Linked DNA regions of Sus scrofa. The protein of the gene in region 1 interacts with the protein of each later gene in a biochemical or structural test. Links are inferred from orthologs where the notes say so. Each region holds a gene or a part of one and is shown in the gene's direction. Other genes may lie near its edges.

Region 1 (4,376 bases):
TCAAGGCCCATATCCACATGTTGCTAGAGGTGAGAGCAGCTCACCCCACTCCCAGACTCTATCTCCAAATATTTAGGGTGGTGTCCTGAGGAAGGGAGAGAGCCAGAGATGGGAAGGGCCATCTTTCCCTCCAAATGAGTCAGACAGGAACCAGGCTGGCTCTGAGGGAAGGGAGTTCCAAGCAAGCCTGAGGTGGGGCCTGGACCCAGTCTCCGTTCAATCTCTTCTGTTCTCTTTTTCAGGGGCTTAGAGAACTACAAGGTCTGCAGAATTTCCCCGAGCCTCGCCACTGACTTCTTCCTACCTCCCTTGACATTAAAGAGCCTGAATGTCTTTGAGTCACGTGGCCCTTCTTTCCCCCATTAACTTCTGCTGTTGGCTAAAGTGCCGTTTCTAAAGCACAATGTTACTGGGAGGCGCAGAGATCCAGTCTGTGTAGAATCTTTAAAGCACCACTGAAGTGCCGCCTCCAGCCTGTTTCCTGGCAGAATGTGCCACCTGACTTTCCGCTCTGCCCTCTCTACCATCGCCTTGGCAACCTGGGCCCCCACCTGACCCTTCTTTCTATTTCCTTTCCTGTGCACTACTGCTTGAATTAACCATAGAGAACGGGCCGATTCAGGGTGGCGGTTTGTTCCCTAAGGCAATCAACCTTTCACTCCTGGCCCTAAAGTTTACCCTTCTCCCACACTCCAATCGTTCCTCAGGTAACTTAAATTACACCCACGCCCGTCTAGGCCCAACCTTGGCCTTGTCCCAGCTTCTAAATAGTTACAGCTCCAGCAATGGGCGCAGGGCCGATCTCGCCCGCCCTCCCTGGTCCGGTCCTCATTCTAGGCTGAATCCAGCTTCCGCCAATCGATACAGAGCCAGGTTCCACCCCTTTATTACTGGCTGCAGCTCGACCCTGCCCTTGTAGGCATTTCGTTTCCACCACTCAACACTCCTTCGCACGTCTGGCAGCTGTCCTGCCCTCCTTCCTCTGCTTCGTTCTAAATTCGTCTTTTCTAGCCAATCGCCACAGAGTTAGCCTGCCCGCCTCCGCAGATCCCTGGTCAGACCTCCTCCCAGCGGGGCTGCTAGCCTGTGTACTTCTATACAAGTCCTGCTTCCGCTGGGCTGCGTGGAGTTCGGCACCGCCCATTGGTGTTTTGGCAGCTGTCTAGGCGTCCATCGCCCGCCAATCAGCAGGAAGCAGAGCCTAACCACTTCTATCCTCGGAGGCTGGCCGTCTTCCATCAATCTCATATAGGCCAATCACTGCGAGGCAGGCACCCCCGGAACCTTGTCAATCGCCCACGGCCTAGCAGTCTCTCCTGAGCCAATCAGCGGTGAGCGTCGGCGGGGCCGAGCACGCCCCCTCGGAACCCAGGAGGCCGGCTGCGTTCCGTCAGTTCCCCTAGGGCCAATCCCAGCAAGGCCCTATGGGGCAGGGTCCGCCTCCCCAACCCTGGAAGCCGCGCGGTCGATCCGTGGCGCTTTGACCAATCAGCGAGCGGCTGAAAGCTCAGCTCCTCCTTTACGGGCCCACGTGAGCGGTGGGGAAACGCAGGGGCGGCTTCTAGGTGCTGCCGCCGCCGCCGCTGCCGCCGCCGCCGCCGCCGCCACCGCCGCCGCCACCGCCGCCTCGGATCCCGGGCCTGGGGGGCGGTGGGGCCGCGCATGGAGCCCCCGCCCCCCGGAGCTGCCAACACCACCGCAGCGCTACGCACAGGTGAGCCCGGGGCCTGGAGGGTTGAGGGCCCGGTCCCTGACCCCACGTATCCTTCCCGCCCCCGCGCCGGGGGATGTGGCTTGGCCCATGGCCTTCTGGTGTTCGGCTCCTCACTGCCACCGCCACGGCTGGTGGACCTGCCTGTGGCATCGTCCCGTCCCTTCGCCCCTTGTAGTGGATCTGACCGTGGCCTAATCCCCCCTTCCTGTTTTAAAATGGATCGGTCTTAGTGCTTGTATTTCTCCCCACCCCCCCTTACAGTAGACTCGTCCGTGGTCTTGCCCCCCAACCCCGGCTTGGAGGGTGCCGTTCTCTGGCAGCGTCTAACTCTTTGACAGTAGGTCCGTCTGAGTGTTTGTATTTCTCAGGTCCTCAAGTTTCAGCGGCCCCCGTCTGTGGCCTTGTTTTTCCCATCCCTACTCTTCCTTGTGAGTCACTCCGTGGCGTTGTACCCCCCCCCTTAACAGGGAGTTAACCTGTGAATTTGTATTCCTGCCTCCAGTCCCCCAGTGCATCAATCCATGGCTTTAACACACACACACACACACACACACACACACACCATTTTTACAGTGGATCAGTCTACATGCTTGTATTCATGTCCCCCTGCATATCAGCCCATCACCCTATCCTCCCTTTTTTGTAGACTGTCACTCCAGTGCCTGGGCTTCTCCCTTGCTTTGAATAGTGGGTTAGTTTAGACCTTTATATCTCCCCATTTCAGTAGCCCAGTCCCTGGCCTTGTCCCCTTCTCCTTATAATCAGTCTGTGTGATGGTTTTTCTCTCTTCCATTATCGTGCAGGAATCAGTGTGTTTCTCTGCTCTCCTTGCCCCTAGTAAATAAGATGAGCCTTTACACACACACATACACACACACACACACCCACCCACCCACCCCTTTGCAGTGGATCTGTTTATTGGACTTCCTGCCACCCATGTGCTTGCCTTTACACCCGTTGGGTACACCCTCGTGTGAGTCCAGTGCTATGCAGTCCCTCCAGGAGGGTTGGCCCTTGGGGTGGGTCAGTCTGTGGCCTTCCCTGCCACTCTCCCTCCTTCTTAGTAGTGGATCAGCCTGTGTGCTTGTTGAACCGAGGTCTTTTTTTACTCTAGAACACACCCCCCTCTTACACACTGTTAACCATTAAAACATCCCGCCTCACTCCAGGAAATGAATACATTAGCAGTAGCGATAATGCCTATAGACGCTACTGGTTATTGACCTCCTACTGGGTACCAGGCTGAATGCTTAATGTTAGCTCATTTCATCCACCCCCTGAGATAGGGACCGAGGAACGTTTGGCACAGGGAGGTTTAATTCCTTACTCAAAGGTGATGCCATAGGTACCAGGTTAGGTTGCCCCTCAGAGCATTTTTGAGACTTTCCTCTCACTCTTCATCCTACCCCCGCCCCCCCCCCAAGGCCTCTCTCCTTAAAAGCTAAATCACTCCCATCTCCAAGCCTTTTGTTTTTGCTGTGCCCTTGGCTTGCCGAGCTGTCTCCACCCCACACCTTGTCTCAAAACCCATCCACCCCCAATCCTAGCAGCTACACGACCTTAAATGGTTTAACCACGGTCTGTCCTCACTTGTTCCCTCATTTGTAAAATGGGGGACTCGGAGCTAGAACCCCCTCCAGCATAGAGCATGCCTGCCAGTAAGCTCTCTGGCCTTACCTCCTACCCACCCACACAGCCCCCCCCCATTCCGTTCCAGTCACACTGACCTCCTCACTCATCCTCACACATGCCAGGTGAGATCCAGCCTTTGCGTTGGCTATTTTTTTTCTGCCAGGAACACTCTATCCCCGTCTCTGCGTGGTTCTTTTCAGGGCTTTGTTCAAATGTCAGCCCGTCCCTGACTGTCTGAACCTGCACATCGAGCAGAACCCAGGCCCCGTCTCTGCCAGACACGCTGTAGAGTTTCCCACTTTATCACATTTATTGTCTTTGCCCATTAAAATGGGAGTCTCCCTGAGGGAGTGTTTTTTTATCTGCAGATTTACCCCCAAGTCTCCAGCACCCAGAAATATGCCTACTATGTAGCAGGTACTCACTAAGATGTTATGGCACACATGCACGAGGAAAAGAATATCATTTCAGACAAATCCGGGTGGGGGGAGGGAGCAGATGAAGATGAAAAGGGCATAAGGGACCTAGTTAAGTTCATTCGGCCAACACTGACTGAGCATGTACTGAGTACCAGGGACCCTTCTAGGCGCCGGGGATATGGGAGGGAACAGACTAGGCAGAAATTCGTGCCTTTGGGGAGCAGACGTTTGCTCAGAGTGGGGGCGACAGACTATATAAATAAAGAAGTCAGATTAGATAGTCTGTTAGACAAGGGAAGTAGGGAAAGTCAGAGTGGCGTCTCGCGATGATCGAAATCTTAGGCACAGGGCAGGCCTCACTTCGAAGGTGACTCTTGAATTAAGGCTCCAAGGAGTTGAGGAAGGGAGCCTTAATGTCTAGGGGAAGAGTGTACTGGGTGGAAGGAACAGCCAGTGCAAAGGCCCTGAGGTAGGATTGTGCCTGGCGAGTTCAAGGGCCATGAAGGAGGCCAGTGTGGCTGGAGCAGAGTGGAGGGAGAGAGGGGAGCCAAGGTCAGAAAGATGTGGGGGCGGGGGGGGGCATCAGATGGTGAGGCCAGGCTGACACCCAA
Region 2 (3,649 bases), on another chromosome or scaffold:
GTCCAATATATGATTCTTCTATTTAGGAGATAAGAATTCATTTAGAGCCACTAGATACTTATTATCATTTCCTCTGTCTTAAACAAATTTGTTTTACTCTCTGATTTTTTTTTTTTTTTGGTCTTTTGTCTTTTTTAGGACTGCACCCACGGCATATGGAGGTTCCTAGGCTAGGGGTCCAATTGGAGCTGTAGCCGCTGGCCTACGCCACAGCCACAGCAACGCCAGATCCGAGCTGTGTCTGCGACCCACATCACAGCTCACGGCAACACTGGATCCTTAATCCACTGAGTGAGGCCAGGAATTGAACCCACAACCTCATGATTCCTAGTTGGATTCGTTTCTGCTGTGCCATAACAGGAACTCCTACTCTCTGATCTGAAAATTATTTTTCTGAATTTATTCACTGAACAAATAAATATTTGAATGGCTTCTATAAGCAAAGCTTTATGCTTAAATGAGTAACATAGATTCTGCCCTTATAAAGTTTATATTGAGAAAAACATTCCCATTCCTAAATATAAAAGATAGGCATTTCAAAAATATATGTCAAGTATTTTCCTATATGCCACAATTATAAAGGGAAATAGGATGTTGTGGAAGTAAGACTATACTACAGGGTGTTAAATGTCATTATAACATAAGATATTGTGGAGACAAGTAGAATACTCAGCTCTGTCAAGGACTAAGGGTTGTCAAGCCCTACAAAAGTGGCCTGTTTTGAAGGTTTAGTAGTTAGAGGTTAGTAGGTTAATGACAAATATAGAGAATAGTATGTTTAAATGCCTTGACAGTTTTTTAAAAGAACAACATTCTTTAAACTAATTTAGTATGGCTAAATTAAACTAATTTAGTATGGCTTAGCAGGAGATGAAGTGGGTCGATGTCCTGTCATGGCAGGCTTTGAATGTACTGCCAGAGACTTTCGGAATTTTTTTGTTGGCATTACGTTTTTGAGAAAGTAAGTAATGTGATCAGGTCTTTTGATTACCATATAGTAGAGGCAGTAAAATAGTGGCTGGACTTGCAGAAAACCATTAGGGAACCAAGTGTTAGAAGTTATTATGGCATGAGCAGTGTTAGAATCCTCAGTGTGTGTAGTAGCACAGGGAGTGGAAGGAAGACGTTGAAGTTTAGACTGACGATAAAATGGATAGCATTCTTTTAAATACTTATTATGGTGCAAATATTGAAAAAAAAAGTAAAAAGTCATTTTTATCTTTCTATTGTAAAAGAAGACACTCTGGAAAAGCAAGGGGTTTGGGTAGGAACAATAATGAATTCAATTTTATATTGTTTTATGAAGCGTCATGTGAATAGCAATGAAAATTTGAGAATCGTAAGCTAAGCAGGGACTTTTAATGCATATTTGGGAATTATCCATAGAGATGTTTGGATAAGAACATATACATAATACCACCCAGGAAAAAGGTACAGATAAAGGAGAAAGATTAAGACAGAATAGTGGTAGAGAGGACATGCCTATGGATGTACTAATGGACTAGTAGTAAAGTTGGGAAAGTGTAATATTAAGAAAAACCAAGGGGCAAAAGGACTGCAATTATATAGAGGTATGGAGTTGGGTAAGAGCTGACAGAAGATGTTTAAGATTTGCTTACAAATTATGTAGAGGATTATATAATGTAGGTCCTTGGTAATTGAGTGTTCATTAATGGAATGGATCTTGAGATACTCTGTTGATATAATCTTTAAGGGTTATTTTTTTAGATTCACAACAAAATTGAAAGGAAGGTACAGAGATACCCCATATACCCCCCTACTCCCACACATGCATAGCTTCCCAGATTATTAACATTTCCTAGCAGAATGGTATATTTGTTATAATTAGTGGACCTACATTGACATATCTTTATTACTGGAAGTCTATAGTTTACATTAGGGTTCCCTCTTGTGATGTACATTTTATACGTTTGGACAGATGTATAATGACATAATGTATGCCATTATAGTATCATTCAGAGTATTTTCACTGCCTTACAGAGCCTCTTTGCTCTGCTTCCCTACTGTTTGCCCCCATACACTGGCCATAAAGTTTGTCTTTGGGTTTTTTGTTTTGTTTTGCTTTTCAGAGCCGCATTTTCAGGATATGGAAGTACCCAGGCTAGGGCAGTTCACATCAGATTTGCAGTTGCCAGCCACAGCCACAGCCACAGCAACACAGGCCTTGAGCCTTGTCTGTGACCTACACCATGGCTTTTGGCAGTGCTGGATCCTTAACCCACTGAGTGAGGCCAGGGATCAAACCCATGTCCTCATGGATACTAGTCAGGTTCGTAATTCGCTGAGCTACAGTGGGAACTCCTGATAAAGTTTTAATGTATAAAATAAGAGAGATTACTTGAGCTTAGAACAGAAGTCTGGAAAAAATTTTACACTGAGAGGTGTTTTGTTTGTTTGTTTTTTTGGCTGCACTCATGGCACCTGGAGGTTCCCAGGCCAGGGATTGAACCCACACCACAGCAGTGACAACACCACATCCTTAACCCACTGAGCCACCAGAGAACTCTTTGAGAGTGGCTTAAAAAAAAGAAAAAAAAAATCCACGGAGTTTCCATTTTGGTGCAGCAGAAACAAATCCGACTAGGAACCATGAGGTTGCCGGTTTGATCCCTGACCTCGCCCAGTGGGTTACGGATCTGGCATTGCCATGAACTGTGGTGTAGGTCGAAGATTCAGCTCAGATCCTATGTTGCTATGGCTGTGGCATAGGCTGGCAGCTGTAGCTCCAATTGGACCCTTAGCCTGGGAACCTTATTATGCTGCAGTCGCAACTCTAAAAAGCAAAAAATAAATAAATAAATAAACAATAAAAATAAATAAATAAATCCATTTATTTGCAGTTCCCAAATGAAAATATTGAGTAATGTAATTTCTAATTTTCCCATTTCTCTGCTTTTACTGCAGATAATTGGCCTTTTGAATGTTTTCACACCACAGAAATCCCTAGAAGAATTTCAAGATGTGTGAGTATGATAATTAAAATTTTTAGTATATTACTCTTCAATTATTACTGTATACTTTAGCTGTCATCTTTTTTCACCCATGAAGTTACATAGTTATGGAGCTCATGGATGCAAATCTTTGTCAAGTGATTCAGATGGAACTAGATCATGAAAGAATGTCTTACCTTCTCTATCAGATGCTTTGTGGAATCAAGCACCTTCACTCTGCTGGAATTATTCATCGGGTTAGTAGAAAAAAACAATCATATTCTCTTTTTAATCATTGAGGTGAAATTCATGTAATGTAAAATTAACCATCTTAAAGTGTACAATTCAGTGATATTTAGTGCATTCACAATAGTGTACAACTACTACCAGTATCAAATTTCAAAATAATTTCATTGCATTTCCCCAAACGAAAACTGCCTACCCATTAAGCAGTCACTCCCATTCCCCTTTTACTCCAATCCCTGTCATCTACCATTCTGCTTTCTGTGTCAATGAATTTACCTTTTCTGGATATTTCATATAAGTGGAATCATATAACACCTGACCTCTTTGACCTCTTATGTTTGGTTTCTTTAACTTAGCATGGTATTTTCAAGTCCGTCCACGTTGAGGCATGTATCAGTAGTTCATTCCTTTTTATGACTGTCTAATATTCTTTTGTATGTATTTACCACATT

What was found.
Region 2: of the proteins of ELK1 (region 1) and MAPK8, one has a biochemical effect on the other in vitro, tested with the Homo sapiens proteins (3 studies listed by BioGRID). The link is inferred for Sus scrofa from reciprocal best matches to the Homo sapiens genes ELK1 and MAPK8.

What each region holds. Positions count from the first base shown.
Region 1 is NC_010461.5:42,172,104-42,176,479, reverse strand, and holds the start of ELK1 (ETS domain-containing protein Elk-1), read left to right. Parts: upstream 1-1,515; 5' UTR 1,516-1,714; intron 1,715-4,376. Other genes in the region: protein UXT, read left to right, coding at 1-29, 243-293. UniProt on the Homo sapiens protein: Transcription factor that binds to purine-rich DNA sequences. Forms a ternary complex with SRF and the ETS and SRF motifs of the serum response element (SRE) on the promoter region of immediate early genes such as FOS and IER2.
Region 2 is NC_010456.5:89,072,354-89,076,002, forward strand, and holds part of MAPK8 (mitogen-activated protein kinase 8), read left to right. Parts: intron 1-2,925; coding exon 2,926-2,984; intron 2,985-3,069; coding exon 3,070-3,208; intron 3,209-3,649. UniProt on the Homo sapiens protein: Serine/threonine-protein kinase involved in various processes such as cell proliferation, differentiation, migration, transformation and programmed cell death.